Linked DNA regions of Diceros bicornis minor. The protein of the gene in region 2 purifies or fractionates together with the protein of the main gene of each other region. This does not show direct contact. Links are inferred from orthologs where the notes say so. Each region holds a gene or a part of one and is shown on either strand. Other genes may lie near its edges. The genes, in order: DICER1, RAF1, CCT8 and CALU.

What was found.
Region 1: the proteins of RAF1 (region 2) and DICER1 purify together in Homo sapiens (affinity purification with mass spectrometry; 3 studies listed by BioGRID and IntAct, with this or other methods). This does not show direct contact. The link is inferred for Diceros bicornis minor from reciprocal best matches to the Homo sapiens genes RAF1 and DICER1.
Region 3: the proteins of RAF1 (region 2) and CCT8 purify together in Homo sapiens (affinity purification with mass spectrometry; 4 studies listed by BioGRID and IntAct, with this or other methods). This does not show direct contact. The link is inferred for Diceros bicornis minor from reciprocal best matches to the Homo sapiens genes RAF1 and CCT8.
Region 4: the proteins of RAF1 (region 2) and CALU purify together in Homo sapiens (affinity purification with mass spectrometry; 3 studies listed by BioGRID and IntAct, with this or other methods). This does not show direct contact. The link is inferred for Diceros bicornis minor from reciprocal best matches to the Homo sapiens genes RAF1 and CALU.

What each region holds. Positions count from the first base shown.
Region 1 is NC_080763.1:40,757,326-40,764,890, reverse strand, and holds the start of DICER1 (endoribonuclease Dicer), read left to right. Parts: upstream 1-4,555; 5' UTR 4,556-4,800; intron 4,801-7,565. UniProt on the Homo sapiens protein: Double-stranded RNA (dsRNA) endoribonuclease playing a central role in short dsRNA-mediated post-transcriptional gene silencing.
Region 2 is NC_080741.1:85,205,973-85,213,680, forward strand, and holds the start of RAF1 (RAF proto-oncogene serine/threonine-protein kinase), read right to left. Parts: upstream 3,002-7,708; 5' UTR 2,669-3,001; intron 1,941-2,668; 5' UTR 1,836-1,940; intron 1-1,835. UniProt on the Homo sapiens protein: Serine/threonine-protein kinase that acts as a regulatory link between the membrane-associated Ras GTPases and the MAPK/ERK cascade, and this critical regulatory link functions as a switch determining cell fate decisions including proliferation, differentiation, apoptosis, survival and oncogenic transformation.
Region 3 is NC_080766.1:29,950,545-29,958,158, forward strand, and holds the start of CCT8 (T-complex protein 1 subunit theta), read right to left. Parts: upstream 3,009-7,614; 5' UTR 2,963-3,008; coding exon 2,903-2,962; intron 432-2,902; coding exon 341-431; intron 1-340. UniProt on the Homo sapiens protein: Component of the chaperonin-containing T-complex (TRiC), a molecular chaperone complex that assists the folding of actin, tubulin and other proteins upon ATP hydrolysis.
Region 4 is NC_080742.1:77,500,601-77,508,328, reverse strand, and holds the start of CALU (calumenin), read right to left. Parts: upstream 2,963-7,728; 5' UTR 2,937-2,962; intron 2,814-2,936; coding exon of another isoform or gene 2,760-2,813; intron 1-2,759. Other genes in the region: GARIN1B (Golgi-associated RAB2 interactor protein 1B), read right to left, coding at 2,760-2,813, 2,963-3,250. UniProt on the Homo sapiens protein: Involved in regulation of vitamin K-dependent carboxylation of multiple N-terminal glutamate residues. Seems to inhibit gamma-carboxylase GGCX. Binds 7 calcium ions with a low affinity.

The DNA.
Region 1 (7,565 bases), on a different chromosome or scaffold from region 2:
ATTCCTTGTCCAACTTCTACCCACTAGATTTAGCAAATATTGCTATTTCTTGTCTGACGATTGCCAAATGGTGACTTTCTAATTCCATTATTCCTTCTAAATTTATTAGTTACAGTCTACTCTAAGGAAGAGCTGTCTCTTTTCCCCATTTATTTATTCATTTTTAAAAAACATCAGTCTGGACTCATGGATTCTATTTTATTCCAATGGAATATAATCTCTTACTATCATATTTTATTTTGATGCTCAAATTTCCCAGATTTGGCCAGTGGGAGCCCCTTCAAGCTGACTGCTTTGTCCTTTTGAAATGTCTCTATCGTTCTTTGAGCATTTTCATACTTTCTGGCACAATAAGATGTTCCAGGCTCCTGTATATGATACTTCTACGTTTATATTTATTTTTATATCTATATATATTGAAAACTTTGAATTCACATCAATACTTCTAATTCCAATCCAATCTCTCAAGCCTTCTTGCTTTTCCCTGTTCTGTATTTGTAGCCCCTTCTCCAACAGTGAGAACTCTGGCTTCCATTATCTTCCATATAGTTTTTTCTTTGTGTAGTCCCCCTGTAGATGGCCACCTACCTTTGCAGGACAGCCGCCCCACCTTCCTTGTTGGGGCTCTGACTCCACACGGGGCTGACTTCCTAGCTGAACATGAGGGTGGCTATATTCTCCTATGTAGATGAAAAAGCAGAATCAGTCAGTAGAGGGAGATACACAGATGAAGCAGAATCACAAAAAAGAATCACAGAAGGACAGAGAGAGCAACTTTTAAGTTCCCGGAAGCTTTCCAATTCTTGGTTCCAGTTATTTGCTAAGATGTACCTGTATTCCCGCTCCTGGCTTTTGTGAGAAGCTCCTACATCCTTATGACAAACTCTTCCCTTTTGGTTAAGCTACTTCATGATGGTTTCTGTTACTTGCAAACAGAGAGTCTTAAACAAGGTATATTTATATCCTGGAATGTGCTACAAAAAATAAAACAAATTGTAGAAATAATCATGGCAAAGGGAAAATAAAAATTAGCACACAGAAAATGCATACCACATGGTACTGTACTGTTGCTTAACATGAGCTGAAATATTAGCTCCAAGATTTCTAGTGATCCATACAAAGTGTGAAATGTTATCCTTTACAAGATTTTATGTCTCCAGATTTAAAACAAACCAGCAACTGGAGCATGGATAGACCATTGGAACAAAATACAGGGCCTAGAAGTGAACTCTTCAACAATGGCCAATAAATGGCAAACTGTGTAGCCATCCAGAAAAAAAATTAATTTGGATCCATACCTCACCCCATATATTGAATCATTTCCAAATGGATCAGTGTTTTATTGCAAAAGACTGGAAGTCTAAATCTCCATCAATAGAGAATTCGTTAAATAAATTATAGCACATCTCTGTAATAAAATGTTATGGGGATTGGGGGGCTGGCCCCGTGGCTTAGCAGTTAAGTGTGCACGCTCCGCTACTGGCGGCCCGGGTTCGGATCCCGGGCGCGCATCGATGCACCGCTTCTCCAGCCATGCTGAGGCAGCGCCCCACATACAGCAACTAGAAGAATGTGCAACTATGACATACAACTATCTATTGGGGCTTTGGGGAAAAAAAAGGAGGAGGATTGGCAATAGATGTTAGCTCAGAGCCGGTCTTCCTCAGCAAAAAGAGGAGGATTGGCATGGAATGTTAGCTCAGGCCTGATCTTCCTCACACACACACACACACAAAATGTTATGGGGATTGAATAAAATAGCAAGGAGCTCTGTATATATTGCTGTAGACATATCTTTTTGATATATTAAGTAAAAAAAGCAAGGTATAGTATACGTGTATGGCACACTATCACTTTTGTAAATGAGGAACGTCTTGGCTTGTATATGCATAAAAAAGTTCTCTAGAAGAAGGAGCAAGAAACAATGGTTACCGTTTGAGGCATGGGGACAGGTATGGGGGAGATATTCTTTTTACTGTATACCTTTTTATGCTTTCTGATGGATACACCATATGTATGTACTACTTAATTTTTTTATTGAGGTAACATACGTTTATGACATTATATAATTTCAGGTGTACATCATTATATTTCGACTTCTGTATAGACTACATCGTGTTCACCACCAAATGTCTAGTTGCCATCTGTCACCATACAAATGTGCCCCTTTACCCCTTTTGCCCTCCCCTCACCCCCCTTCCCCTCTGGTGACCACCAATCCATTCTCTTTATCTATATGTTTGTCTGTCTGTTGTTTTTTCATCTGCCACATATGAGTGAAATCATATGGCATTTGGCTTTCTCCATCTCACTTATTTCACTTTGCATAATACCCTCCAGGTCCATCCATGTTGTTTGAAATGGCAAGATTTCATCTTTCTTTATGGCCAAATAGTATTCCATTGTGTATGTATACCACATCAACTTTATCTATTCATCTGTCAATGGGCACTTAGGTTGTTTCCAAGTCTTGGCTATTGCAAATAATGCTGCAATGAACATAGGGGTGCATACATCTTTTCAAATTAGTGTTTTTGTGTTCACTGGATAAATACCTAGAAGTGGAATAGCTGGATCATATTGTAGCTCTATTTTTAATTTTTTGAGGAATCTGCTGTTTTCCATAGTGGCTGCACCAGTTTACATTCCCACCAGCAGTCTATGAGGGTTCCCTTTTTTCCACATCCTCTCCAACACTTGTTATTTCTTGTCTTCTAGCCATTCTGATGGGCATGAGGTGATACCTCACTGTGGTTTTGATTTGCATTTCCCTAATAATTAGTGATGTTGAACATCTTTTCATTCGCCTGTTGGCCATCTGTATATCTTCTTTGGAGAATCTCTGTTCAGATCCTCTGCCCATGTTTTAATCGAGTTGTTGTACCACTTATTTCAAAAATTAAAAAAATTGATGAAAATCAGACAAACCTGCTGATGGAGAAACCCAGCTGATCTTGACAGACTGAGGCAACAGCAGGAGGGGATGCAAGTTTTACCTGCCCACAAATTTCCACTGCTAGTGGACCGTGGTGCCTACCCCCGCCTTGAGATGCCATCCTTCTCATAAAGGATTATCTCCCAAAAGCCTTTACGCATATGACTGGGGAGGTCTACTGCCCACAGTGCTTGACATACAAGAAACATTATTTTTACGGAGGTCTGCCAAGAGCATTCTGACTACTTCCTAATTTTGCCCATGAACATTCTATGTTTAGGTGAAACTTCTATCTGACCAATTTACAGTAAATATATGATTAAAATTTGATCACCGCAGTGACTGAATACATCAGCCCTGAAGCCAGACTACCCGGGTTCAAATCTCAGTTATTCACTTAGTAGCTGCTTACCTGATGGAGGTTATTAATTTTCTTCATCTGTTAAAACAGGGGGCAATCACAGCACCTACCTCACAGGCTCCACATAAAGATCACAGGCTTACACTACCCTGGTCAATTCACGCTAGCCACCTAAGACATTAAAATTTTTCTATTACTCACATTAAAAAAAATGAAACTAGATTTATCCCAATATATCAAAAACATCACTTCCACATGTAATCAATATAAGAAGTTATTTGTGAGATGTTTTACATTCTCTTTTGGTAAAGAACACATACATCTGAGCTCCAACTAGCACGTCTCAATTAGCACTACCCATATTTTTAGTGCTCAGTAGGCACACGGGGCTAGTAACCACTGTATGGAACCGCGCAAACCCAGACAGTCTGGGGAGTAGGTGCCAAGAGCTAACTCTTACTAGCAGAAGTATGGTTGCTGGTACCATCCCTCCTCTGCAGTAAACCAGTGTATCACTGAGTCCTCTGGCAGAGCTGCCTACACTTTGGGATAAACTAACAGGACTTTCTTTAAGCTAGTCACCTAATTGACCTCCAGGTTTTAATTCACAGCTACAAGGTATGGTACACGGTTGCGACCCCAGCAAATGAACGACTTACATAACCGGGGCCGCTGTCCCCATCTCGTTTTCTGGTTATCCCTGTTCCGGGGTGGGAGTGGGGTGGGGTTTGTCGTCTCCCCAATTGCGGAGGGCCCTGCACCACTAACGCGGGGGACGAGCAGGCAAGCGGGAAGGTCTTGACAAAGTGAAGGGGGGAGTGGCAAAAGGGGCGCGCAGCCCTCGGGAGAACAATCACCGCCGGGGGGCAGGGCCACGTTTAGGGGGCGGTGGGTGCCAGACGGGCAACAATGGAGGCGGGCGAATGCAGAGAGCCAGGAAGTTCTGCCAGCCTGCGAGCGTCCGCCGCCTCAGCGCGCGGGGCCCGGGGGCTGCAGAGGCGGCGGGCGGTGGGCGGCCGGCTCCAGTCCCGGCGCTGGGCCGCAAACGCCGCCTGGGCCTCCGCCGCCCGCGTCCGCTGTCTCCCGGCTCCTGAGTGGCTGGGGGGCCGGGGTTAACCTTTCACCGCCGCGCCGCGTCCAATCACAGGCCCGCTCTCATGCCGGCGCGGGCGAGCGGAGCGTGGGGGCGCGGCGGGGCGGCGCGGGCGCCGGTGGGATTCTCCAAGCGGCGGTGCGCCGTTGCCGCGGGCCGTGCGCGGGCTGCGGGCGAGCCGGGCGCTGCGCAGTCTCCGCAGGCGCCAGCGGGAGGGGTCGCGGCGCGGCGCAGGCGGCTCCAGGCCCAGGTGAATGGAGTAACCTGACAGCGGGGACGCGGCGACGGCGAGCGGGAGGAAATGGCGGCGGCGGCGGCGGCGCCGGGCGGCACCGGGAGGCCTGGGCTGTGACGCGCGCGCCGGAGCGGGGTCCGATGGTTCTCGAAGGCCCGCGGCGCCCCGTGCTGCAGGTGAGGCGGGCTCCCGCGGAGCCGCTTTGTGTCGGGGCGGGGAGCGGCGCCGCCCGGCCCCGCGCCCGCCTCCACGCCGAGGCCCGCATGGGCGCGCTGGGCCCGCGCTCCGGCCTGGCCCGCGGGGGACACCGGCGCGGGCCGATGCGCGGCCTCGCCTGGTCCCGGGCGGCGCGGCCTGCGGGGTCGGGGCCCCCGCCGGGCTCTGCGCCTCCCCGACCGCGGCGGCCCTCTGGGTGGGCGCTGTGGAGGGACCCCGTGCGCTCGCCCGGGCAGCGGGTGGGCACGCGGACTGGAGCCTGTCCTCCCCGCTCGCCCGCAGCCCGTGGAGAGCGGGGCTCTGACGGGTCGGGTGGCGCACCGAGAGGTGCGGAGTGCGCAGCGGCACCTGGAGCATCCTCGGGCCCTGCCCTGCTGGGGGCCGCTCCGCTGGGCCTCCGCGGACCCCTTGGAGAGGGCTGGGAGGGAAGGAAGCCGGGCTGTCGGTGCTGGCAGGAAAGCGCGAGCTTCGGGGCCCGCCCGCGGAGGATTGTTCGTGTTTATTGGCAGGTGACCAGATCTGGGTCCCACGGGGCGGGTGGCCGAGGCCATCTTTCCGCCCCTCCCCTCCGATGTTTTTGTACCCAAACGCCTGGACCCTGCCCAAGGAGCCTTTCTTAAGGATTTTTAATCTTTAGGAAATCAGTGTATGTTTTAAGTTAGACCGTGAGATTTCTGTAGATTGTCTAGAAAAGCTGAGCTGCCCCGATGGCTTTGCCCGCAGCACGGAGCTAACAAACCACTTAATGCATCTTTAATAGCCTGAAGATTTGCAAAAACAGATGAGTGGGGACTCCTGGCTCTATGGTGTTCGGTCAGTGCTTTTGTGGGGAAGTCGTGCTTAAAGGGACACGTTACTGACCCACAAGATAAGTCTAAGCGTTCTTAGACTTTCACGGTTTAAAAACATTCATCTTATTCAAGAGTGTTACTTTGAAGTCTGTGTCTTTGAGATGCTTCTGTCTTTGGATTTTCTGAATCTTGACGGTTTTGATTTTCAGTTGTCTTCGTGTCGCTTGTTTTTCAAGTACAGCGCACTCAGTGAAGGGAAAACGGCAGAAGTTAGGAGTTAAGAAACTTGGAAAGTATTTTTTAAAAAAATGCTTTAATAAAAGGTTAAGTTGAAAATGTGTTGGTGTAAACATTAAGTTTTCTAAATAAAAATACCCATCTTAACCAAGAGCTCCAATAATTTATTGAAGGATGGATGATGGTACAGGATTCTGAATGAGGCTGCTAGTAAGTTGTAATTTTAGTATCACTAATATCTTTGGAACTAGCTAGGTTCTAGAATAATCTGTTTATTTTGCAGAGTGTCTTTATTTTGCAGAGTGTCTTTAAAGCTAGCTAGCTACCTGTGGCACGTGTATATTATGTGTCATATGTGCTGTATATACACACACACACATAATTGTTTTGAAACTTTATTTTAGGCCATATTTTATAAAACTGTCTATAGATTAGAAATACTAAAAGGTTGCTTTTAATAGGGTCGCTGTAAACATTTAAATTGGTAATTTTGGTTCATGGATTAATTCATGGCATCAAAATGCTGTTTTAAGTAAAGATGTATTAGTTGAATTTAATTTGGGGAGAAAAGACCGTCTTTTCCTGCAGTTATTTTAGTAAGGGCTTGTTTTACTTTTTATGCTCTCATCTCATCACTGAAGGTTCAGTTGTCTGCTGTGCTAGGTCTGAGGCCCCGTGTGTGAGTTGTATAACGAGGCGGTTTTGCCGTTGCTGAGTTTTGTTGTCTTGGCTTTGGAAGGCTTTTATTTTGATGTGGTTCATGATTCTTGTTAGATGGTGATGTTGTGGTGTTACATGGTGGGTTGTACTTTTAGAGTAGTGCTGCCTTCTAGGAAGGATGACTTTTATGGCACTGAGATATTTATTCCCGGCCACTGTCTGACACAGGAGATGCTTGTTTTGTTTGAGAAAGTAGGTTTTTCATAGACATTCTCTCACTTGTGACCTTAGCTTCCTGTGGTCATCACTGTGGCAAAGGAGAGAATGATAACGTTTATAAGTGCCTGCTTATTATGTGCCAGGATGTTTCAGGTGCCTCTATATCCGTTCTCATTTAATCTTCATGGTGACCCTGAGACAAACTCAACACTGTCCTTATTGTACACGCAAGGAAACTAGGACTCGGAGATAGTTGCCCCAAGTTATGGTTCTAGAAGTGGCAGAGCCAGGATTGAATCATGGTTTGATTTCAGAGTCCTTGTGTTGTATTGCATTGCTATTCCAAGTGGATTTTAGGGGAAAACCTGCATAACACATAGGTCAGACCTTAGCTAATACTTGTTGAATAAGTGAAACTGTCTACCCTTAAATGTTCAGGGGACCTCTGATTATCTGAATAAGTCAGATTTTTTTTTTGGTGGTCAAATATACATAACAAAATTTACTGTTCTAACCCTTTTTAAGTGTACAGTTTGTGGCACTAAGTACATTCACATTGTTTTGCAACCATCACCACCATCCATCTCCAGATCTTTTTCATCTTCCTCAGCTGAAGCTCTATTCATTAAACACTAACTCCCCATTCCACCCTCCTCCCAGCCCCAGGTAACCACTCTTCTGACTTCTGTCTCTATGAATCTGACTACTCTTGGAACCTCATATGAGTGGAATCATACAGTATTTGTCCTTTTGTGACTGGCTTGTTTCACTTAGCATAGCATCTTCAGGATTCATTCATGTTGTAGCATGTGTCAGAA
Region 2 (7,708 bases):
TTAAAGAGCTTCTACAAGACAAATAAAACCAGAATCAAGATGAATAGACAACCCACCAGCTGGGAGAAAATATTTGCAAAACATATATCTGACAAGGGGTTAATCTCCATAATAGATAAAGAACTCACACAACTGAACAACAAAAAAACAAACAATCCAATCAAAAAATGGGCAGAGGGGGCCGGCCCCATGGCTTAGCGGTTAAGTGCTCACGCTCCGCTACTGGCGGCCAGGGTTCGCATCCCAGGCGCGCACCGACGCATCGCTTGTCCGGCCATGCTGAGGCCGTGTCCCACATACAGCAACTAAAAGGATGTGCTACTATGACATACAACTGTCTACTGGGGCTTTGGGGAGAAAAATGGAAAAAAAAAAAAAAGGGAGGAGGATTGGCAATAGATGTTAGCTCAGGGCTGGTCTTCCTCAGCAAAAAGAGGAGGATTAGCATGGATGTTAGCTCAGGGCTGATCTTCCTCACAAAAATAAATAAATAAATGGGCAGAGGAAATGAACAGACACTTCTCCAAAGAAGATATACAGATGGCCAATAGGCACATGAAAAGATGGTCAACATCACTAATCATCAGGGAAATGCAAATCAAAACCACACTAAGATATCACCTCACGCCCGTCAGAATGGCTATAATCACCAAGACAAAAAACAACAGATGTTGGAGAGGCTGTGGAGAAACAGGAACCCTCATACACAGCTGGTGGGAATGCAAACTGGTGCAGCCTCTATGGAAAACGGTATGGAGATTTCTCAAAAAATTAAAAATAGAAATACCCTATGATCCAGCTATCCCACTACTGGGAATCTATCCAACGAACCCGAAATCAACAATCCAAAGAGGCTTATGCACCCCTATGTTCCTTGCAGCATTATTCACTATAGCCAAGAAGTGGAAGCAACCCAAGTGTCCCTCAACTGATGAATGGATAAAGAAGATGTGGTATATATATACAATGGAATACTACTCAGCCATAAAAAAAGACAAAATCGTCCCATTTGCAACAACATGGATGGACCTGGAGGGTATTACATTAAGTGAAAAAGGCCAGAAAGAGAAAGACAAACACTGTATGATCTCACTCATATGTGGAATTTAAACCAACACACGGACAGAAAAACTGTATTGTGGTTACCAGGGGCAATGGGGGTAGGAGGTGGGCACAAGGGGTGAAGGGCGACATATATACGGTGATGGACAAACAAAAATGTACAGCCCAAAATTTCACAATGTTAAAAACTATTAAAACATCAATAAAAAAAATGTTCTTAACTGGGTTTAACAAAGTAAATCTTTTCAATTACTATCAGCTTCAACATCATCAAGAGAAGGGGGAAATTAATTATCAGCATGAAAAAAGAATTAGCAACATTCATTTAAAATAATCCAAATTAAATCAACTAGTTCACTATCGTCGACAAAGATTCTTCACGATCTAGTCAACTTTTCCTTTAGACCCTCATCTCTCACCACTTCCTCCCTGCACCCCGGATTATTTGCTGCTCCTCAAACTCATCCCAACTCCTGCACATCTCTATGCCTTTGTACCAGCTGTTCCCTCAGCTTAGAATGCTCTCCCCTCCTCCTCACCTGGAGAGTAATTACTCATCACTCCAAAACTCAGCACAAAAGTCCCCTCCAGTGGACAAGCTTCCTCAACTCCCCCAGGCAAAGCCAGTTCCAAGTTCCCACAACCTTATCCTTATCACAGAGCATTGTTTTCACGCCTCGGAAGAGAATGGAGAGCAGACTCCCTCCACTCAGCCCACAGAGGACAAGGCAGGCAGAAATACTCAATGAACGTGCGCTGAATTCATTCCCTACCTAGATTAAGTAATCCTCGAGAACCCAGTCACATCCCAAGGAAACACGGGAGATCCTATCATTCTTCCCACCAAAGAATGAATACCAGAGGGCACACGCAGAGCCCTGGAAAGAGAACAATGAATGAACACAACAGCTTCGCCTCTCACGATGTCCAAACTCTTCTCGGGGCATCGACCGGCTCTGCAGAGCGTCTGCAGCTGCAGAACTGAAGCGTCCTGGTGGCTCTCACTTCACACAAAAGACAGCCCTGGATCGTCATTCCAAAGCATCCCGGGGCCACTCGTCAGTAAAAGCATCCCAAACCTTTCATTAGTAACCCACAGAGGCCTGAAACCCCAGGCGAGGCCCCTATGCCTTTGTGGTGGGGCACTGTACCCATTTCCTCTTCTCGTGCCCGACTCCTCTCGTCTTTCCTAAAAGGGTGTCACTTGAGTGACGGACACCGAGAGAAGATGCAAGCCCGGGTTCCCCACTCCGCGGCCAGAAAGAAAAGGAATTAGCCCATCTGAGTGACAACACAGAAACGGGGCAGCTCCAGGGGGATTTTCGCATTGTCAAATATGAGGAACGTGCACCGGGTACAGGGGTGGCGCTGGCACGTTTCCCCGAAGCACAAGGAAATCTGAGTGGGGATGTGGGAACTCCGCTCGCCGGCCATGACACCGGGCCCCGAGCCCCCGTCCGCCCAGCGCCACCTGGGGTGACAGCGGCCTGGCCCGGGCCCGGCGCCCGGCAGCCGCGGGGCTGCTCCGTCAGCGCCGCCCGGGAACCAACCCCTCAGCCCCGCCGCCCGGCTCCCCCGGCATCCAGAGCCCGGCCCTGGCGCCTACCTGAGGGAGCCGGGCCGCCTCCGTGTCCCGTCGTCCGGCTGCGGCGTCTGGTCCGCTCCTCCTCCCCGCGGCGGGTGAGGGAGCGGGAGGCGGTCACATTCGGCGCGTCCCCAGCCCAGGGGACGGGGCCCCAGGCAGCCCTCGCATCGTTGCACTCGGGCTCCGCACCTCAGGGCACACGCCCCAAGCCCAGCCAGCTGGCCCTCTTCGGGGCCCAAGAAGAGCGGCAGGGGAGCCTCCCCGTCTCACTCTCGCTCTCCTCTTACTCCCGCCATCTAAGATGGCGGCCCAGCGCCCGCGAAGAAGAGACTCTCCAGCGGCCCAGGCAAACGAGCCCTCCACTCGGTGCTCCTCCTCCCGACCTGCGGCGCCACTGGCTCTTTGCTTCTGCGCGAGCCCGCCTGGCAACCGACTTCAAACTTGGCTCGGGCATCCATCGCTCTGGCCTGAACTCAAGCCCCGCCTCGCGTGGAAAGGCGTGGCCTCGCGAGGTTGCCGGCCGCCATTTTGGAGTTGTGGAGGCTGCAGGGCGGGTGCTGACTGGCTCCCGGACAGGCGGTGGGGAATCGAGAGAAGGTTGGCTTTTAGCCACCCGGAAGGGGCTTGAGGCCTCAAGGGGGAACGAAGGCCAGCCTGCCCGCATCAAGGCCTAGGGATAACCAGACATACGCGAGGAGGCACAGCATAGAGAACAGTGTCCAGCTTTGGCGCGTCCTCTCCGGAGTCGGACACGCTCCGCTACTTACCGGTTATGTAGGAAAGTGTCTAAACTTTACTGAGCCTCAGTTTCCTCATCTGTAAATTGGGGGTTCCTTTTCCCCCATCAGATTGGCAAAAAGTTAAAAAGACTGGTAATATCAAGTCTGGTGCTAGGTATATGAAAACCTGTTGTGTACGGTCATTCAGCGCTGGCAGGAATGGATATCGGGAGGGCAATTTGGCGTTATCTGTTGACATTTTTAATGTATATACCCTTCCGTCCAGCAATTCCACTTGTAGGCACTAATTCTAGGTAAATGTGTACACATACCCACAATAAGACGTGCTGAGGTGTTTATTGCCATATTATTTGCATTAGAGATACACTGCGAAAAATGCGGATTAAGTAGGAAACTGGGTAAATAAACGGTGCTACCTCCACAATAGAGGATATCATCTGTTAAAAAGAATGAGCTAGATCTTTGTACTGATGTTTAAACATCCAAGACATTAAATTTTTTTAAAAAGTAGAACATGTTGGGGCCGGCCCGGTGGCGCAAGCGGTTAAGTGTACGGGCTCTGCTGCGACGGCCCGGGGTTCGCCGGTTCGGATCCCGGGCGCACACTGACGTACCGCTTGTCAGGCCATGCTGTGGCGGCGTCCCATATAAAGTGGAGGAAGATGGGCACGGATGTTAGCCCAGGGCCAGTCTTCCTCAGCAAAAAAAGAGGAGGATTGGCAGATGTTAGCACAGGGCTGATCTCCTCACAAAAAAAAACAAAAAACAAAAAAGTAGAACATGTACAGTATGATTTTATTTACTTGAACACAGGCATGCAAGATTACCCAATACCGTGGGCACCATTCTTTCGTTTAAATTTTCGAGAGCCTATTATGTACCACACATTGTTCTGTGTATTGGGAAATCAATAATCATCAAAAGCCCTGCCTTCTAGTGATGAGAGACCGAAAGACAGCATAAATAATAAATTCAGGTAGTAATATGAGCAGTATAAAGAAAAATGAAGATGAAGCAAGATAAGATGACAGGGGCATGTAGACCAACATGAAGATAAATTCAGGGGAAAGACTGGAAGACATTGAATATGGAGGGACCATGAGGGGATTTTCTTTTTAATAGGAATAATAACAATAACACCTACCTCACAGGATTAAATGAGAGAAAACATGGAAAGCACTTAGCACAGAGCCTGGGAATTGAGACTTGAGTACCTGGAGCCTGACTGCGTAGGTTCAAATTCGGACTCGGTCACTTCCTCCTCTGCCACTTAGACAAGTCATTTAACACTCAGTTCCTCATCTGTAATGAAAACCGGATAGTTACCCACCTCTTAGAGTTGTAAGGATTTGGTGAGTTTAAGATGTAAAGCACTTGGAACAGTGCCTCTCATATTAAACATTATAGAAGTGTTAGCTGTAATTATTATAGCTGTCTCTTATCATATCATTACTACTTAGGGCAGAGCAGCAAAGCCACACTTGCTGACCCCCAGGCCACTCCTTCCTTCAGTCGCCCCCAGCTGGTATTTGCCCAGCACTTCACAGCTTAGAAAGCTTAAGGAGGGGCTGCCCTGTGGCTTAGCGGTTAAGTGCATGCGCTCTGCTACTGGCGGCCCGGGTTCAGATCCCGGGTGCGCACCGACGCACTGCTTGTCCCGCTGAGGCGGAGTCCCCCATACAGCAACTAGAAGGATGTGCAACTATGACATACAACTATCTACTGGGGCTTTGGGGAGAAAAAGGGAAAAAAGAAGGAGGATTGGCAGTGGATGTTAGCTCAGGCTGATCTTCCTCAGCAAAAAAAGAGGAAGATTGGCATAGATGTTAGCTCAGGGCTGATCTTCCTCACAAAAAAAAAAAAATGTTGCATAAAAAAAAAGAAAGCTTAAGGAGTCTGTGCCTTATTCAAACCTCAGCTCACCAGTACGAGTGACTAATTCATTTTTTCAAAATAATTTATTGAGGCAAAATTCACATAACATGAAATTGAGGCAAAATTCACATAACATGAAATTAACCATTTTAAAGTGATCAATTCAGTAGCATTTAGCATGTTCACAATGTTGTGGAACCACCACCTCTGGTTCCAAAACATTTCCATCACTCCAAAGTAAAATCCGTTACCCATTAAGCAGTTTCTCTGCATCCAATCCCCACCCAGCCCCTGGCAACCACCAATATGTGTTCTATCACTATGGATTTATCTCTTCTGGATATTTCGTATAAATGGAATCACGCGATATGTGACCTTTTGTGTCTGGCTTCTTTCACTTAACAAATGTTTTCAAGGTTCATCCATGTGATTGCATGTATTAGTACTTCATTCCTTGTTATGGCTGAATATATAAGTATATACCACAATTTGTTTATTCACTTGTGGATGGACATTTGGGCTGCTTCCATCTTTTGGCTATTATCCGTAGTGCTGCTATGAGCATGCAGGTACATGTACTAGTTTGAGTACCTATTTTCAGTTATTTCAGGCATATACCCAGGAGTGGAATTGCAGGAATCATCTTGTACTCCACTGGGTTGCATGTCCTGTACTTTGGAGACCTCTGGTTTGGTGGTAGGCTCTCCTACTCGTAAGAGCTAGAGTTATTAGGGAAGGTCTCAGAAGAGGAACAGGGAAAAGAAATGATCAGAAATGGCTTGAAGGGACAATGGACATGCCATGATCTCAGATCAAACAGAGGAGGGGAAGAATGGGAGGTGTCATTGGTAGAGGGAGGGGATGGGGGAGGCTAACGTGGAAACTTTCCTGGGTGTTAGAATGTGCTACTTCTTAATTTGGGAAGTGGTTACATGGGTATGTGTATGGCTATATATATACGCACACACATATATATGTAAAAATTGGTGTGTGTACTTTTCTGCACATTTGTTATATCTCAAAAAATTATTTTGAAACATGGACCATAGGTCTTTAAGCCAGGCCAAAAAAGGTACGTGTTTCAGATGAAGGAAAGAAGAACTGCACAAAAAATACCTGTCATTTATGAAGGCTCTTCATGTAATCAGGCATTTTACACAATCTCCAATACACAATCATCACGACTTGAAAGTCCTGATCTTCAAATGGGGAACCTTTAAGAGAGGGTAATTAATCTAAGGACAAAGCTGGGAAGTGGTGGAGCAGGGATCTGGACCTGTTTGTTTGTTCATTCCTTATTCAGTTGATGAAGATTTCTGTTGTGCTGAATATGTGCCAGGCCCTGTGTTAGCCCTGGGCCCGTAGCCGTGACCAAGCCCAAGTGTCTGCCCTCAAGGACTTTAAGGTCTAGCAGGGGAGACAAACAGCAAACAAGTAAACCAATACATCAACATGAAAATTAGGATTGTGGTAAATCAGTGCAGAAAAGGACTAGAGAATGATAGACTGGGAAGGGAAGGGGTGCGCCTTTAGACTCAGTAGCCAAGGCCTCTCTGAGGAGGTGATAGTTAAGCTGGGCACTGAAGGATGAGAAAGAGCCAGGAGAAGAGCATTCTAGGCAGTTGGAACAGACATTTTCTCCTTGATAGACCCAACCCCTCCTCTCTCTGCACAGAGGAGTAGGCATGGGCTCTGAAGTCAGACAAATAGGAGATCAAACCCCCGCCCTGCCCTCACCGCTGTGATTCTTGGCCTCTCCCTCAGGTGATGTAGGAGCAGGAATATTTGCCTTCAGGGGTTGTTGGGAGGAAATGAAACGGGAAAGTACAGGCCCTGGCATGCAATAGGTGCTCAGGGAGCTGCTCCTCACCCTCTCCCTCTCCAGCACCTCTCCCAGACTTACTGCTTTCTGCCCTAAAAGGGCAAGTCAGCCAGGTCTTGAAGAAGAAAATCACCAGCACATTCAAATGTCCCTTTCCCTCTTCCAGTTACCCCCCTAATTTTTTGTTCTCTTTTGGGGCCAAATTTATCCCAAAATGGTCTAGACCCAGGCTCGATTTTCTCACCCATCCCTCCACTAAGCCCCAGCAGTCTGCCTTCTGCAGCCACCGCCAGAATGCTTCTCCTTCTCACCAAAACGTCCCTCCAGGAGGGCTTCCCAAGCTTGGCCTCAGTGTCCTTTATGACATTTGGTCAAGGGCATCCCCGTCCAGTGGAAGTCCTGCCTCTGCGGTTCTCTCCTGTTTCACTGGCCTGACTCCTCCTGTCCCAGGAACCACGCCTGTTCTCCTCTCAGGCCTACCTGGCAAAGCAGCTCATGCTATTCTCTCTGCTGGAAATGCTCTTCCCTACTTTCAGTCCCAGCTCAAGGGCCACACCTGCATGGAGCCTCCTCTGGCAGCTGCGACCTGCAGTGTTCTGCCCTTTCTCTGAATTTTCGTGCATC
Region 3 (7,614 bases), on a different chromosome or scaffold from region 2:
CTCTTAAATTATAATGTCACTTTATGTAAAAGAACCGTTCACCATTTGTCACACTGAACATTAAGCACTATCTCAATAATGAAAGCACCATAATTTTTCTATCCTCTTAACAGCATAAAAAGTAACATTTTGATTCCTATTTTTCTAAAGAGATCTGAGTTGCCAATTAAAAACTGGAAACCCTATACTAGTGTCACTGAACTATGAAATAACTTTCAAAGCCACACTGTATTATGGCTAAAACTGTCACTTTATATATAATACCCTCAGAACAAGTTTGAAAGAGCTAGTACACAAAATTCTATTACTGTATCTTTTAAAACATGAATTTATAAATTACCATTTGGTCCATATGCTGTACGAGTTGTCTGGGCAAGCTCCTTGCAAGCCTGTATGTTCCTGTACACAGCCTCTTCTAGTCCTGAAAAATGCTGTAAAAGGAAACTTCTGATTAGACAGGACAGTGAAAACAAGAATTTATTCATCTGTAAAATGGGAGTAATAATAATAGTACCTACCCTCACAGGATTGTTGACTCGATCAAGCAAGAGTTATGTACGTAAAGCATGGTGCTTGGTATTCATAAATGATCCATAAATTTGCTCAATAGTTGAATGAACAAAGCATGACATTTTTAGGAACCACAGGTACCCACTTACACATCAAAATGCAGCGCCTATAATTTTTTTTGATGTAGTGAAAAGTGCAGGGAAGAGTGCTAAGACTGATTAGAGAAAGCATATGAGCTATTTCAGGTAAAAATACCTTTTCAGAGTTTACCAGTACTTTCTGACTAAAACTTGAAATGTGGCATGAATATTTTTCTTATTGTGTTAGAGCCTGAGCACTGTAAAGCCAGCAGTTCTATGTTCATTGGGAATTCCCACTTAACCTATCTGTCTCCAAAATATTTAGGGACTAAAGTATACAGGCTTTTGAACTGCAACAATTCCAACGTGTACATATTGAAAAACTGCTGAATCGCTCATAGTACTAAAATTCTCAAATTTTACACTGAGCTTTTTTTAGAGCTGGGATTTATTTGTGGCCTTAGATAGGTTTCATGAACCTAGTGTTCATGTGAACGTTTTTCTAGAGCTGCTTTGCCCAATACAGTAGCCACTGGCCACACGTGGCTATTCAAATTTCAAGTAATTAAAATTAAAAATTCAGTTCCTCAATTGCACTAGCCACAGTTCAAGTGCCCAGTAGCTACATGTGGCTAGTGGATACCATATTGGTCAGCACAGATACACAACATTTCCATCATCACAGAAAGTTCTATCAGACAGTACTGTTCTAGAGTATAAGGCACGGCTTTTATAACATACATTAAAGGGACTGTGATCCAAACAAGGTTAATAACCACTTTAGAAGCAGTGTCTTCAGCGACAAGAGTTGGACTCTTACAAGAGCACTCAGTGTGATCCCCTGGCTTACACTCCTACATCCCCCACCCCTGAGGAGCAGCCCTCAGGTCATCAACTAGATCCCATCAAACCCTTCTTCAGAAGTTTACCATCCCTCCCAGGATAAAATGTAAATCCTGCCTCAGGGTTACAAGGCCCTACATGTTTGGCCACTGCCTACAGCTTCTCTATATTCTTTTCTTACCATTCTTGCCCTCCCTTGGTGAGCTTCAGGCCCATCACCTTTCTCACTGTTTTCTTTAAAAAGGTCAAACTCATTCCATTTTCAGGGTCTTTGTACTTACTGGTCCCTCAGCCCGGAACACTTCTCCCTTTAATCTTGGCTGGTTCCTTCTGTCACCCAGAAACTGAGCTAAGAACTCTTCCCTGAACATCTTATTTAATTGTTTTATCTACCCTAAACCCTTACCTTTTTTTTGGAGGCAGACTTTCTTATTTCTTGTCATTCTCTACTACAGTACTGTTTGTTTCCTTTATCATTATTTGAAATCATCCTTGTTTATCTGTTCATTTATTATTTCTGCCTCAGAAGAATAAAAACTACGAAGAGTTCTCAGCCTGACTTTTTAAAAAAGTGAGCAACCGATGTCCCTTTCAGCAAACTTGTTCCACCAACATTTACATTAAACCCTGATATTTATTTAGTATACTGTTATCCCAAAGTGCATCCTGCCAACAAAAACCTGGTTCCCTAAAACTTAAGGGGTTGTTAAAAATCGCGCTCTTGAAATTACGTTCGAGATCTGGCCATAAAACAAAGCAGTTTTACTTACTTAGACCAGGGTGTCACTTACCCATGGGTTACACAGGTCAGATGGACAGGTACAACTTAAAGGTACCACCTTTTTGTCCAATCTCAATTTAAAGATGAGGAAAGTAAGACCCTGGGGGGTAAGTCTTACAAGCTACTTAACCTTAAATTGAGACCAAAACTCATTTGGGTTGTAAGTGTCTGTCCTACTACAACGCACTACTTCTGCGAACTAAATAGGGAGCCCCTCTGTTTCTCATTTGGAAGGAAGCTGCCAAGACCTGGCCCTTGTTCCTCTCCTCTCGGATCGCCCCATCCTCGAACTGCGTGTCAACCGGCCCCGCGGCTCCCAAAGCAATTTCACCTCCGTTATCCACCTTCACCCTCACAACACCCTTTAAGGGAGGAGAGCCTCATCAGTTCCGTTTCACGGATGGAGGGAAAACGCACAAGCGGCTTCACGCTTCCCCAGCTAGTCAGTGCAAAACGCGAATCCCGGGGCCTTGCCCCTCACCCGCGGCCTCTGCCTCCTCGATTCCCCCCGGGGTCGCACAAGAACGGAAACGCCCGCAGGCCTCGGGGGCCGAGCCCTCCCGAGAACACCTCCCTTTCTGGAACCTTCTCTTCCTCCGATCTCTGCGCCGGGGGAGCACGCTCGGCCCTTTAGTAGGCCCTGCTCTCTCGCGGCAGCCACCTCCCCCTCCCTTCCTCCATTCCTCACCTTCGCTCCTTCCTTGAGCATCTGGGCAAAGCCCGGGGCCTTGGGGACGTGAAGCGCCATGGCCAGTACGCAGGAGCCCCTCACGCGCTCGCTCGGAGGATCCGGGAGGAAGCGAGGGGCACGCACGGCCTGCTGGGAACGCAGCGTGCCGCGGCCTCACGCTCCGCCTCTCTCTTCAGCTGGGCCCGCCCTTTCCCTCAGCCTCCTGGTCTGAAACCTCGCGAGAAAGAGCAGTTCCCGCAGCCAGGACTGGGTTGACGATCCTCGATCAGGTCGATCGATCGGGCCGACGCAAGCGCAGGCGGCACAGGCCATTGTGGCTGGTTGCCGAGAGTGTCAGCCGTTGAGGCTCCGTGGCCGCGACGTTACGTTTTTGCCATTTCTGACCTAGAAGCCACGCCTCCCTCCTAAATTTAATTTCCAAGTTATTTTCCAAGCCCACTCACAACATCGGGGCAGGTGTTCACTTTTTTCCCGAGACAGGGCGTCTGCCCTCGTCCGGAAAAATCTGTGGCTGGGCGTCTGGTCTGTCTGGGGCTCTGTAGGAAGCGCTGGGGACGGGACGGTAATACTTAAAATCCGTAAGGATAACTACATGCTGAGTTCTCATATGTGCCAGGCTCTGTGTTATTTGCTTTACGTGCAAGACCTAAGCTAATGGTCAGCCTTCCGAGTTAACTACTATTATCTCCATTTGATAGAAGCGGAAACTGAGGTTTACAAATGGTAATTTGTCCAGGATCACAGCGCTAGTAATGTTAAAGCAAGGATTCCTAGCAAGATCAGAATGACTGCAAAATGCACGTTCTTAGTCACTGTGTATATTCCTCTTTCCTGCTTTTTCCTGGAAATATAAATCCCTTTTACTCTCCCCAGATCTTTTAAAACCTGATCTATATGTCTTCGCATGTCAACACGTGGCTGATTTCAAAAAGACTGAATGCTAATAGAGTACTTTTAAGGGTAATTTCACATTATGAAAATAATCCACTTTTCTTGCAGAAAATGCAGAAAACCCAAAGCAGAACGTTTTGGCTTGACTTTTGTTCTTTGACTTGGACAAGTGCAAATTACTTATTTTCTTTAAATTGGGACAGATTTAGTGTGCCATAAAACTGAAAGGGGCTAAAAATGACGCTTGATAAAATTTAATTAATTAAAAATAACTAAGGAATCAAATCTTGATAAGGACCATGGAAAATTAAACTTGAGGACAAACCAATTGATGAATCAAATTTCCATGGAAAGTTCGTGATAAAAAATTGATCCTACATTAATTTTAGTAAAAAGGAAAAGGAAAGGATTGAAATCAATTAAAATCTTCTGTATGATAATTTGTCAAGAAATTAAATTGATTTAATTGCTAAGAAGAATGTTTTTTAGATGAAAATTCGTTAATTTTGTATTATTTGGGTTAAACTGTGCATTCATAATTATAGAATCAAAACATCAAGAGCAAAATTTCCGCTGGATCCAAATAGTTGGTCAAATATTCCTCACCCAGAAAAGAAAAGAAACAATAATCCTGAATGTGGCTTCAAGGCCTAGGTTTTGGTGCCTGGGTAGCTCACATGTATCTTCCTGTCTTCTGGTCACAATAGCCTGAATAGTTCATCCTGTCTTTTACCGCCTCTGCATCAGGGGCTTCACCTCTACTCTTTTCTCTACCTAGAGTGTGCTTTCACCGCCTTTTGGTTGAGTTATATCTGCTTCAGTCAACATAAACTTTTTCCTTAGAAAGTCTTCAGTGACTCCCAAGTCATTCCTTGTTAGTCATTCTCATAACTTCTGTGCTTCTCCTTCATAGCACTTATTGCAGTTGTAATGACAGAATTATTTATATCTTTCTCAACCAGTAGGTAGGTGTTGTATTGCCAGCACCTATCACTGGGCATGGCATGGAGTAGAGTCTCAATAAATAGTTGTCAAGTGAACGAATGGATGACCAAATGGGTATCTAGAAGAGGAGACCAAAGAATCACGAGGTGTGGTCTCTATTTGTCTCATCCAGATGTACGTGCTGTAAAACCAGAGAACGTCACAAAGCAATCAAAAGGGTTGCCTAGGAGTTTGCAGAAGCCCAAGGAGACTGTAGGTTTCGGCTATTTTGATTCAAGAGCCCAGGGCCCTCATGTTAGGTGCCAACTGAAAACATGGCCTCCAGCACCCAGGAGAGAGCTAAGGCCTCGAAGATTGGGAGTGTCTGCCCCCTCAGCTCCCCATTCAGGAGGAACTACACTCTTGGTCTGGAGATGTCTAAGCCAACTCAGGACCCTGATAAGGACTCAGGTTACCATTTGTTTCCTGTGACTTTGTTTCTATTTTTCTCTCTATCTTTTGTTTGCCTAAAATTTTAACCTCTGTACTTCAGAATTATTTTAATATTTTTGCCTTGTATATGTGTTTTAATTTTTTTGGTATTCTTATTTAATTTTACCAACTCCCATCAAATATTTTCTCTTCTGACTTTTCTCCCTCCCCTGCATTTGTATTATTTATTTCATGTTACTATATCATCTTAGTTTTCACTATTTTTCCATCAAAATTTAATTCTTTCCCTTTGGCTTTGGATTTTATGACTCATTTTGTCTTGGCTTATTATTTCACTTCAATTTCTTTTTTTTGTGAAAATCTCTTAATTTTCCTTTATAAATTAAAATTTTTTTTTCTGTTTTAATCAAATTTCTTTGGGCTTAAGGAAACCCCCATTCCCTCTCAGAGTTTGGAAACAATTACCGAAGTGAAATCCGAGTCAGGCAGCTGGGATTCAACGTATCACTGGACTTTGGAGGATATGGCTTAGTGTGAAAGTGTAGACATTCTTGTCCGTGATTGCTGCTTTACACTGAATTGGAGTGGAGGAGCAGAAAAGAAGAAGAGAGACTTTTAAAGGGTTAACTCCATATAATAATTTTTGAAGTCCAGAAAGAAAGGTGGCCCCGTGTCAGTCACCCATTAAACCAGATAACTCCCTCCAATGGAGGGGTAAGGAGTGAAGCGGGAAGCCAGGAGGATTGGGGAAAACCAAAAGAGTATAAAGAAGTACTGTCTCCCAATGTAATTGTTATTTTTGTGTCTTAATTTCCCTGGAAACCTCCCATTCCTAGCCTTTTATCTATGGGGTGAGAGTGAGGTTGGGAGTTAGACTGGGCCTCAGACTGCCATGTTGATCCCAAAACTTCATGTAGTTTCTGTCAAGAACACGTGAGACTGGGCAACGTCAAGGCCAACTCCTGACTGATTTGGCTGGTGAAGATACAGGGAGCCACTTTTAGAATCAGTTTATTACTTACATTGACAGTGAGAGGAAGATTAGCCAAAGGTCCCAGCTCCTTGAGGTCATTGTCCCGCACATCAAAAGAATGACACTGAACTAAGAGGAACTAAGAGATTGTAATGCAAGTGGTGGGGTATCCAGTTGCTGAGGAGTTAACTCTGGACTGTAGCTGATCAGTTATATATTCTACCCATCTCTACTGCAGGGGGCTGGGGCAGGATGATCCACAGCCCATCAGAACACTGGAGATGATGAGAAACTGCCTCATCATCTTCCTATGACAACTTCCTAAGGGGCATAGGGAGGTAAGAGAGAAATTGCCTGGGAGAAGCTCTTCACAGGCCTCCTATCCTCTTGTGTTCCAGGAGGATCACAAGGCATTCTGCCAAGACTCAGATTAGCTCGGGGCAAGCCTCTGCCTGCTTGGTGTGTGTAGAAACATGCAAAGTTGCCATGGCACCTTGGCAGAGCCGTTCCCCTACAGTGCCTTGGCACTGTTTCTCCTTGTGGCTATCCTCAGAGGGCTCACTCTAGTGACGATTCCTTGTTCTCAGTGAGGCCTATCTTGCCATTCCACCATTTGGATGCTTACCCTTCCTGCCCACTCTTCTGAAGTAACACCTTTCCAGCCACATGTTGCAAGAGATCTCACACCCTTTGGTTATCCTCTGTTATTTCCTGACACCTATAGAATATTGGCTTCCTAAAATATCACCAAGATAATATGTTGATGAGACAAAGCTGAGTTTATTCTACTGCAATCAGGGAGAGCACTACTTTGTCAGATTCTTAGTAGCATCTCAGTTGGGGGGTGTGTGTGTGTGCAAAGTTAGGATATTTATGAGTTTTTGAAGTCCAGTTAAGGAAGGTCTTTCAATGTAGGAGCTTGGGAAGTTTGAGTAACGATCATGACATACGATTGATGGGCATAGCAAGGTAAGGATTTTGAGGCAATGGGTTCAAAGAGTCTTGAGGTGTAAACTGTCGTTTGATGCTTTCTATTGAACAGTTGATGGATCTTTCAGGATGCTTCTGGAATGAGCAATACAGTTATTTGCAACTTTTATCTTCCTGGGCCAGTGTTTCCTAGAATAAAGTTATGTTGATGAAGACACTGGAATAGCAAAGTCATGCTAATGTAGACAGCAAGCTGTGTGGGTATAGATGGTTTCAGTTGTCATTCCTGACACTTTTTCTAGGGACAAAGAGGATCCTCTCTAGATGATTGAATCTCCTGTGAGCTCAGCATCTGGAATGGTATCTTGGTCCAGAGAGCCTGTGTTCCAAATACTGGGGTGGTGGAGGCCATGTTCGAATTCAGAAGAGGGAGCTAGATTGATGCTGAACGCATATAGGCAGATGCTGCATTTGCTGATATCCGTCCCTGTGCTGTGACCAAGTCTGTTCTCTATTTTTGGCTGTTTAGCTGGAGGAT
Region 4 (7,728 bases), on a different chromosome or scaffold from region 2:
TGGTAAAAATCCTTTGGTCACAGAACACTTAAAATCAATTATTTCAGAGAAATTTAGATGTCTGGATTAGATTTAACTTTTCAAGAACATTAGCATTGAGTGATCCCACAGTTATTCTGGTTGAGCAAAGACCCATTGCTCAATGTTAACAAGTGGGAGAAATGGGTGTGGTGGTAAAATTCCAGTTCTCTGAGCTGGATATTCAGCAAAGAAAGGCATTCCTCTATAATGCAGCAAAAGTAGGACCTCACTGCTTAAGGGTCTACTGCAATTGTGGATTGGAGGGAACAGCCTGAAAGCAATTTAACTATACATACTAAGGTCCAGGTTACAAAATCTACAAATCAAAGCTATCTGATATTCTTCTCTTACAAACTTTAGCACAAGTACCACTAATGGATTATCACATTAAAGTAATAATGTCATCCTTCACGATTTGATAAAAGTTATGACAATGACAAACCATTTATTCAATGTTTCTTTAATTATGGAGCAAATTTACATTAGTTCATTAATACATTCCAATTAAATTATTTGTGTGACTGAAGGCATAGATTTTTAAGACAGCTGAGAATATAAAGGTGCAACATTTGGCTGTAGAAGAAAAGCTTTGAGAAGGACAAACTATTCCTTAGGCTTCACTGGTTCTATAACCAAAACAATTCAGTACAAACTTTAATTTTTCTGGCTACAGAGTGGAAAATTTTCTTTAAAAAAAAAAGTTCTAGAAATTTTGGGAGAAAAAAGTTTCCTTTTGGCTGATGAAACTTTAATACATAATTGCCATAGAAATGCTATGCAACATGTAGGGACGAGAACTTTGGTTTCTAGTTGTAATTTTGCTGTGCATGTGTAACATGCATAAAGTCCTTGAGAATTTGGTAGTTATTTTAGTTCAACCTCCCTTCAGTGCCAAATGTCTATAAATAATTTTACAATCCTAGATGAAAAGACCTATGTACTATGACCACTCCAGGAGGAAGTGATCTGTACCCATTCCCCTAAACTTTTATAAAACTTGTACCACTCCACAATAATGACCATAGGCTACTTTAAGTTGTCTCCTATAGGCGACTCCCCTATGGATGCTACATTTTTGGAAGGCAGGGATCTCAGCTAATATAAATTAATATCCCTCTACAGGCCCTAATACAGCGTCTTGTACTTTTTATATACCAATACATTTCACTGGATTAGTTGGAGGGCACTTGGCAGCAATGTAGTTCCTGCCTGTCTGTGCTCCCCAACCCCCAATTCCCCTTACCGGATCTGGCCATCAGCCAGCAAAAGGCAAAGTGTTATTTCAGCTGTCTTAACTCTAATACATAAATTACAACATCAACATCTATATTTAAGAGTTCATAGAGAGAATCGAGGACCTTATGGCCTAGCAAGCATCTCTAATAGCTATCCCTGGCTATACCTGTGTCCTTCCAACATTTCTGGCACACCCAGGTTACAGAAAGTCTGTGTTAATATCAATGTACTGATCTCCTATACTGGTGCAACATATATATAAAATGTCATCAATAAGAACCTTTTGATACATCACTGGACGAATGGGAGCAAACAATGATTATACTGAGAGGGATGATGAGTTGATTTCAGAGCTGTATCTGAGTACTATCCACTCAGGCGTACTCAATTCATCTTTGCCAGCTCATGGTTCTCCCGGTTTTGATTCTCAAAAAAATCCTATTGCAGATCCCTGAATGACTGTAAAACTCAGATTAGGCCTGGGCAAATTCGTCCTCTCTACACATAAACACAATTTACAGGTTATCTCTAGACCCTCATTTGTACTGTACTACGTAAACTCTTCAGTGAGGGCCATTGTTTAGTACTTGGTTAACTAAATTTACTGAATGAGTTCAAACCCATTTGTCTTGTGTCAAGTTCCATTCTACGGCAAAGCAAAGAATAACTTATCAGAGATTACACGGTTCTCTACCTCCCAGCTATAAAAAAAAATCAGAAGCAACCTTATTCCCGATTCATTAACCTTGACTTCATGGTCCATGCCAGGATGTGAATGCAATTCAATTTTCAAAGAAACTATTCTGGGAGTTTATACACTTAGAAATTGAGATCAAAGGCCCTAAAGTTTTAGCAGGAGACCCAAAAGCAGCTTTCAAAACTGCAAACCACACTACTCTAGTCTTAATCAGGGCAGCTATAGGGAATTAAGTTTACTTCTGAACACAGCATGCCAAAAATCAGAACGAGGGTCTGGGGCTAGAAGCAACAAAACAAGGTAAAAATACACCTTCCTAATAAAGCTTTCAAAACTATTTTCCATCGCTGATTGAAGTACGCAGCCAAACATAGAAGCTCGAAACACTCGGCTATTAAAATTACAGCAAGTTTTTTAAAAAAAAATCACAGAGTGTCTTCAAGCTTTCTGTCTCCCCTTGTTTCTACACCCTCAAAGTCAGCGAACACGACTTTCTTGGCAGATGCACCCTACCCTGGGGATGTGGCCTTGGGGTGGGGCCAGAGGACACAAGCAGGCCGGTGAGTGGGAGGTGGCAGGGAGCTGTTAGAATAACACTACCTGATGCCCTCCGACCTTCAAGATGCAAACAAGAGTGGCCCCCTAGTCGGACGGACTCGGTGAGTGGCGAGGCCCACGGACAGAGGACGTAGCAAGCCAGGCACAAAACAGCACCCACAGGACGCAAAGCCGGGAGCCCGAGTTCGCGAGACCCGGGCCCCTTCTCAGAGCGAGCGGAAAGGCGAGCGGCGGCCTCCAACCCAGGCTACGCGCCGAGGGCCCTGGGGTCGCGAGCCGGCTCAGGCCCCGGGTCCCCGAGCTAGCAAAAACACAGGCACCGAAAGAAGGAGGCCCATCCCGCGTCAGGAGCGAGGCCTCAGGACAAAAAGAAAGCGAAAAAGGACGAGGCTGCGGAGTACGGGCCGCGCACCACCGCACTTACCTTTTCTCACAGCGCTCACAGCCTACCGTGCCGCGGCCTCCGCTCAACCACCGGCTCAGCTCACGCGCACAAGCACCGCCCAACCGGAAGCGGCTCCGCGCCCCGCCCCTCTCCGCCTCGCCGGCGGCCTCCCGACCAATCGTCAACAAACCGGCCGCTGACGCATAGCTGCCCCGGACAGCCATTGGTCCCGCAGTCGCGTAGCTGGGATTGGCTGGAAAGCGCCACGTCCCCGCGAGCGCGCCGAGTTGCGCGGACCGGATTCCCGCCCTGCTCTGGTCCCTGGACCTGCGGGCTTGGTGGGCCTCAGCCCCCTACTTCGGGTGGCGTGTGGGCGCGGCTGTCTGGCCGCCACGTCCGGGTTCACAGCGCGTGACTCGGCTTCCACAGGGCTTCTTGCATTACCCCGCCGGTTATCTTCATGCCCACAGGCACCCAGAGCCGAATTAATCCGACTGTATCAGTCGCCCCAACCTCTCCTTTCCCTTCAGCACTGCTGTTCTGATGGGGTAGCCTACAGGAGCCTTTTCACTCGTTGGCTCCAGTGTATCTTTCGGCTTCGTCTCCCACCACTCCCCCTCACATATCTTGCGCTCTGGCCACCATCATCTCTGTGTTCCCGAACCACCCGCCCTTTCACATCTATGGCCTCTCTTCATCAAGTGGCCTCCTCCGCTTGGAATAAGTGCGTTTTCTGAATCTCTGCTTTGTCAATGCGAATAGAAGTCCCAGTTCACAGAAATCCTGGCTCAGATATTATCTCTAGAAGCGTTTCCTCACCCTACTAGGCATAATAATTTCTCTCTTATTTGCCTTCATAGCACTTTGTATCTTTAGTATGCTTTGCCAAATTTTGCTATAAAATACTGCTTATCCATCTATCCTCCTGCAGACTAAGCTCCAGGGTAGAGATCTACCTTGTTCATCTCTGTATCTGCAGGTCTGAGCTTGCTGCCCAGCTCAAAGTAAATGCTTAATAATGTTAAGTGAACTGAATGGGTGGAACCCATTGCACGTCCCTGATTTAAGAGGAACACAGGAAATTATTCACTTATTTTCGTGTCATGAAATTAAAACAAATGTTAAATGAGGGCTACTATGTTTGCAACACAAATGAAATATAAACCTACTGTGTTCTTAGCACATAAAGCCTCTATACTTTAAAATCCAGTTGAGACAAGTAGTATGTTCATGAAAGAATTAAATACAAAGCAAGTTAGTTAACTTTTAAGCACCAAGATCAGAAGTTGACAACTAATGCTTTGGGAATTCAGACAAAGGAATGACAGTGACCTCTCTGGTAGCCAGAGAGGGCTTCCTAAGGAGGTGTGACTCAGGCAGGACTAAGGAAGTCCTGAATGCACTATTCAGAAGAGGAATAACAGGAACAAGGGCAAGTTGGGGTCAGAGTAGGAGGTAAATTCTTAGGCCAGGTAGGGGATGAGGGGGATAAAAAAGAGAGGGGGGCATGAAGGGAAAGCATAGATGATAAGTTTCTCTAGGTAGTGGAAGGTCTTAACAATCTGAGGAGCCTGAGCTGAAGGCAGTGGGAACTGTGGGTCATCTTCGGAAGGTTTCTAAGCTTGTGCCTATGTGGGAGGTGGAATGGAATGAAAGTGGTTCTTTCAGGGAGGCGCATCTCCTAATAAGGATTTTTTTTTGCTTTCTTTTTTTTTTTTTTTTTGTGAGGAAGATCAGCCCTGAGCTAACATCCATGCTAATCCTCCTCTTTTTGCTGAGGAAGACCGGCTCTGAGCTAACATCTATTGCCAATCCTCCTCCATTTTTTTTCCCCAAAACCACAGTAGATAGTTGTATGTCATAGTTGCACATCCTTCTAGTGGCTGTATGTGGGACGCGGCCTTAGCATGGCCGGAGAAGCAGTGCGTTAGCGCGCTCCTGGGATCTGAACCTGGGCCGCCAGTAGTGGAGTGCGCGCACTTAACCACTAAGCCACGGGGCCGGCCCTCCTAATAAGGATTAACTATAAAACAGGCTGTATCCGGAGGTATTTAAAAAACTTTTAAAAATACCTCCTTGAAGTCAGGCACTATGCTAGGTGCTGGTGAACCCACAGTGAAGAGGGCATGGTCCCTGCCCTTACAAAACTGTAGCCTACTGGGAGAGCCACCCATCTTGGAAGTGTCCTAAAGGAGGCTGGATGAGGTAGCGGGACTCTGCCAGGGATGGGGCCCTCCAATCCTGAGATTCCCTGTGGATAAGAGCCTGGCCTAGGCAGAGAAAGGGAAATGGTAATGAACACTTATATATAAGAGAACTTTTAAAAGTGGAAAACAAGTCCTGGATTTATTGACTGCTTGGATGAAAGAAATGAAGGAGCAGCACTCAAAAATTTAAAGTTTTAATCATAGGAAACTGGGAGAATGACTACATGAGTGGAATATGAGAGAAATAGTGAATTGAGTTCAAGACATAGTAATCTAAGGTGATGGCAGAACATCTAAAAAGAAAGAGCCAATAGGCTGGAGGAGATACTTAGAAGGGTCATTGGCCAGGAGGCAGCTGATGGAGCCATGAGAACAAATGAGCTTTCTGAGGAGAGAAAAGCAGATTAGACCTCCTGGGAGCTCCAGAGTTAGAAGGTGGGTAGAGGAGGAAAGGACTTGGGGGGTGACACACATAAGAAATGTCACCTCAATTGCACTCAAGGCCCATCTAGCCCTGGATTCTATCTCTGAGAGAAGCACTGAAGGACTGTTTGTGGCAGGTATAATGATGTCAACCTCAAAAGGGTAATGTCCTTCAGGCATCCCAACTCTGTTCATATGGTGCTACTGAACATTTACTCCACAAATATGTTGTTTTCTGTGTGCCAGATACTGTTCTAGGCACTAGCGATACGGTAGTGAACAAAATGGACTACACTCTCTGGTGGTGCTTATATTCTGGTATGTAGCCAAAATAAAACCAGATAAAAAAGAAAAATGTATAGAATGAGAGGTGGTGATAAGTACTAAGAAATCAAATATGGCAAGAAAGGAGACAGGGAGTGTAGGGACTATCAGGAGTGATGTTGCAATCTTAGAAAGGTGGCCAGAGAGGGCTCATGAAGAAGGTGAGGTGTGAGTGAACATCTGAAGGTGGTGAAGAACATTCCAGGAAAAGGGAATGGCAAGGGCAAAGGCCCTGAGCTGAAGCATGTTTGGAGTGTTTGAGGAGCAGCAGGACGCCAGTGTGGCTGGAGTGGAGTAATTGAGGAGTAGAGGACATGAGGTCAGAGAAGTAGAAGCAGGGATGGGGGCAAAGGGGAGAGGGACACCATGTAGGACCTTTAGGCCATTGTAAAGACTTTAGCTTTTACTATGAGTGAGATGGTGTGGAAGAGACTGGCTGTTTAGCAAACCGTTTCCTCTTCATCCTGTGAACACAGCTAGACTACATTTCCTAGGCTCCCATGCAGTGTGGCCATGTGACTGAGCTCTGGCCAAAGGAAGAGGGGCAGAAATGATATCCACTACTTCCAGTACTGGCCATACAAACCTGCTGTGTGTAATTCTCCAAGCTCTTTCTCTTTCTGTGGCAACCCTAGAAGCCGTGTAGTGCAGATGGCAAAGTCACAACCTGCAGGGAGCCCAGTTTCCTGTTAAAGAGCCACTCACCAAACAGGCACACCCTTTTCGGACTTTCTGTGAGAAATAAACTTCTATTGGTTGTTTTACGCCATTGATACATTGGGTTTATCTCTTACAGAGCCAGCATTATCCTAATACAGATGGGAAGCCATTGGAAGATTTTGAGCAAAGAAGTGACATGAGCTAAGCCTTTAAAAGGGTCACATTAGACTGAAGAGGGTAACGTTAGAAACAGGGAGCCCACTTAGGAGGCTTTACAACAAGCCAGGTGATGATAATGATGACCTGATCCAGGGTGGTAGCAGTGGAAATAGTGAGAAGTGTCAGATTCTGAATATGTTTTGAAAGTAGTTTAAAAGGATTTCCTGGTGTGTTGGTAATGGAGTGGAGAGAACAAGAGGAGTCAAGGATGACTCCAAGATTTTGAGCAACTAGAAAAGTGGAGCTGCCATTTATTAGGATGGAGAAGACTTTGGGGGGAGCAAGTTTTGGAAGATAATATTGAGAGATTGTTTTTGGACGTGTTGAGATGCCTGTTAGACATTCAAATGGAGATGCTAAGTAGGCAGTTGGATATGTATCTGTGGAGTTTGCAGTGGTCTGGACTAGAGATACAAATTTGGGAGTAATTGGTGTATATGTGGTGTGAAAGCCATGAGTTTTGATTAGAAGAGACCTAAGGACTGAGTCCTGGAAATTTCCTTTTTTTTTTTTTTTTTTAAATTTTATTTATTTATTTATTTATTTCCCCCCCAAAGCCCCAGTAGACAGTTGTATGTCATAGCTGCACATCCTTCCAGTTGCTGTATGTGGGACGTGGCCTCAGCATGGCCAGAGAAGCAGTGTGTCCGTGAGCGCCTGGGATCCGAACCCGGGCCGCCAGCAGCGGAGCGCGCGCACTTAATCGCTGAGCCATGGTGCCGGCCCTGGAAATTTCTAATGTTCAAAGATGGTAGAGGGGTGTTGATGAGAATGAAGCAGCAAAGGAAATGAGAGTAAAAGCCAGTGAAGGAGGAGGAAAGCCAGGAGAATGCAGTGTTATAGAAGCCGAGTGAAGAAAGTGTTTCAAGAAGAAAGAAGTAATCACATATGTCACATGTTGCTAACAGTGAGGTAAGGACTGGTTGGCCATTGGCTTTAGCAATGTGGGGGTCAGGTTTGGTGGGGTAGTGGGTACAAAAACCTCCCGGAGGGGTTCA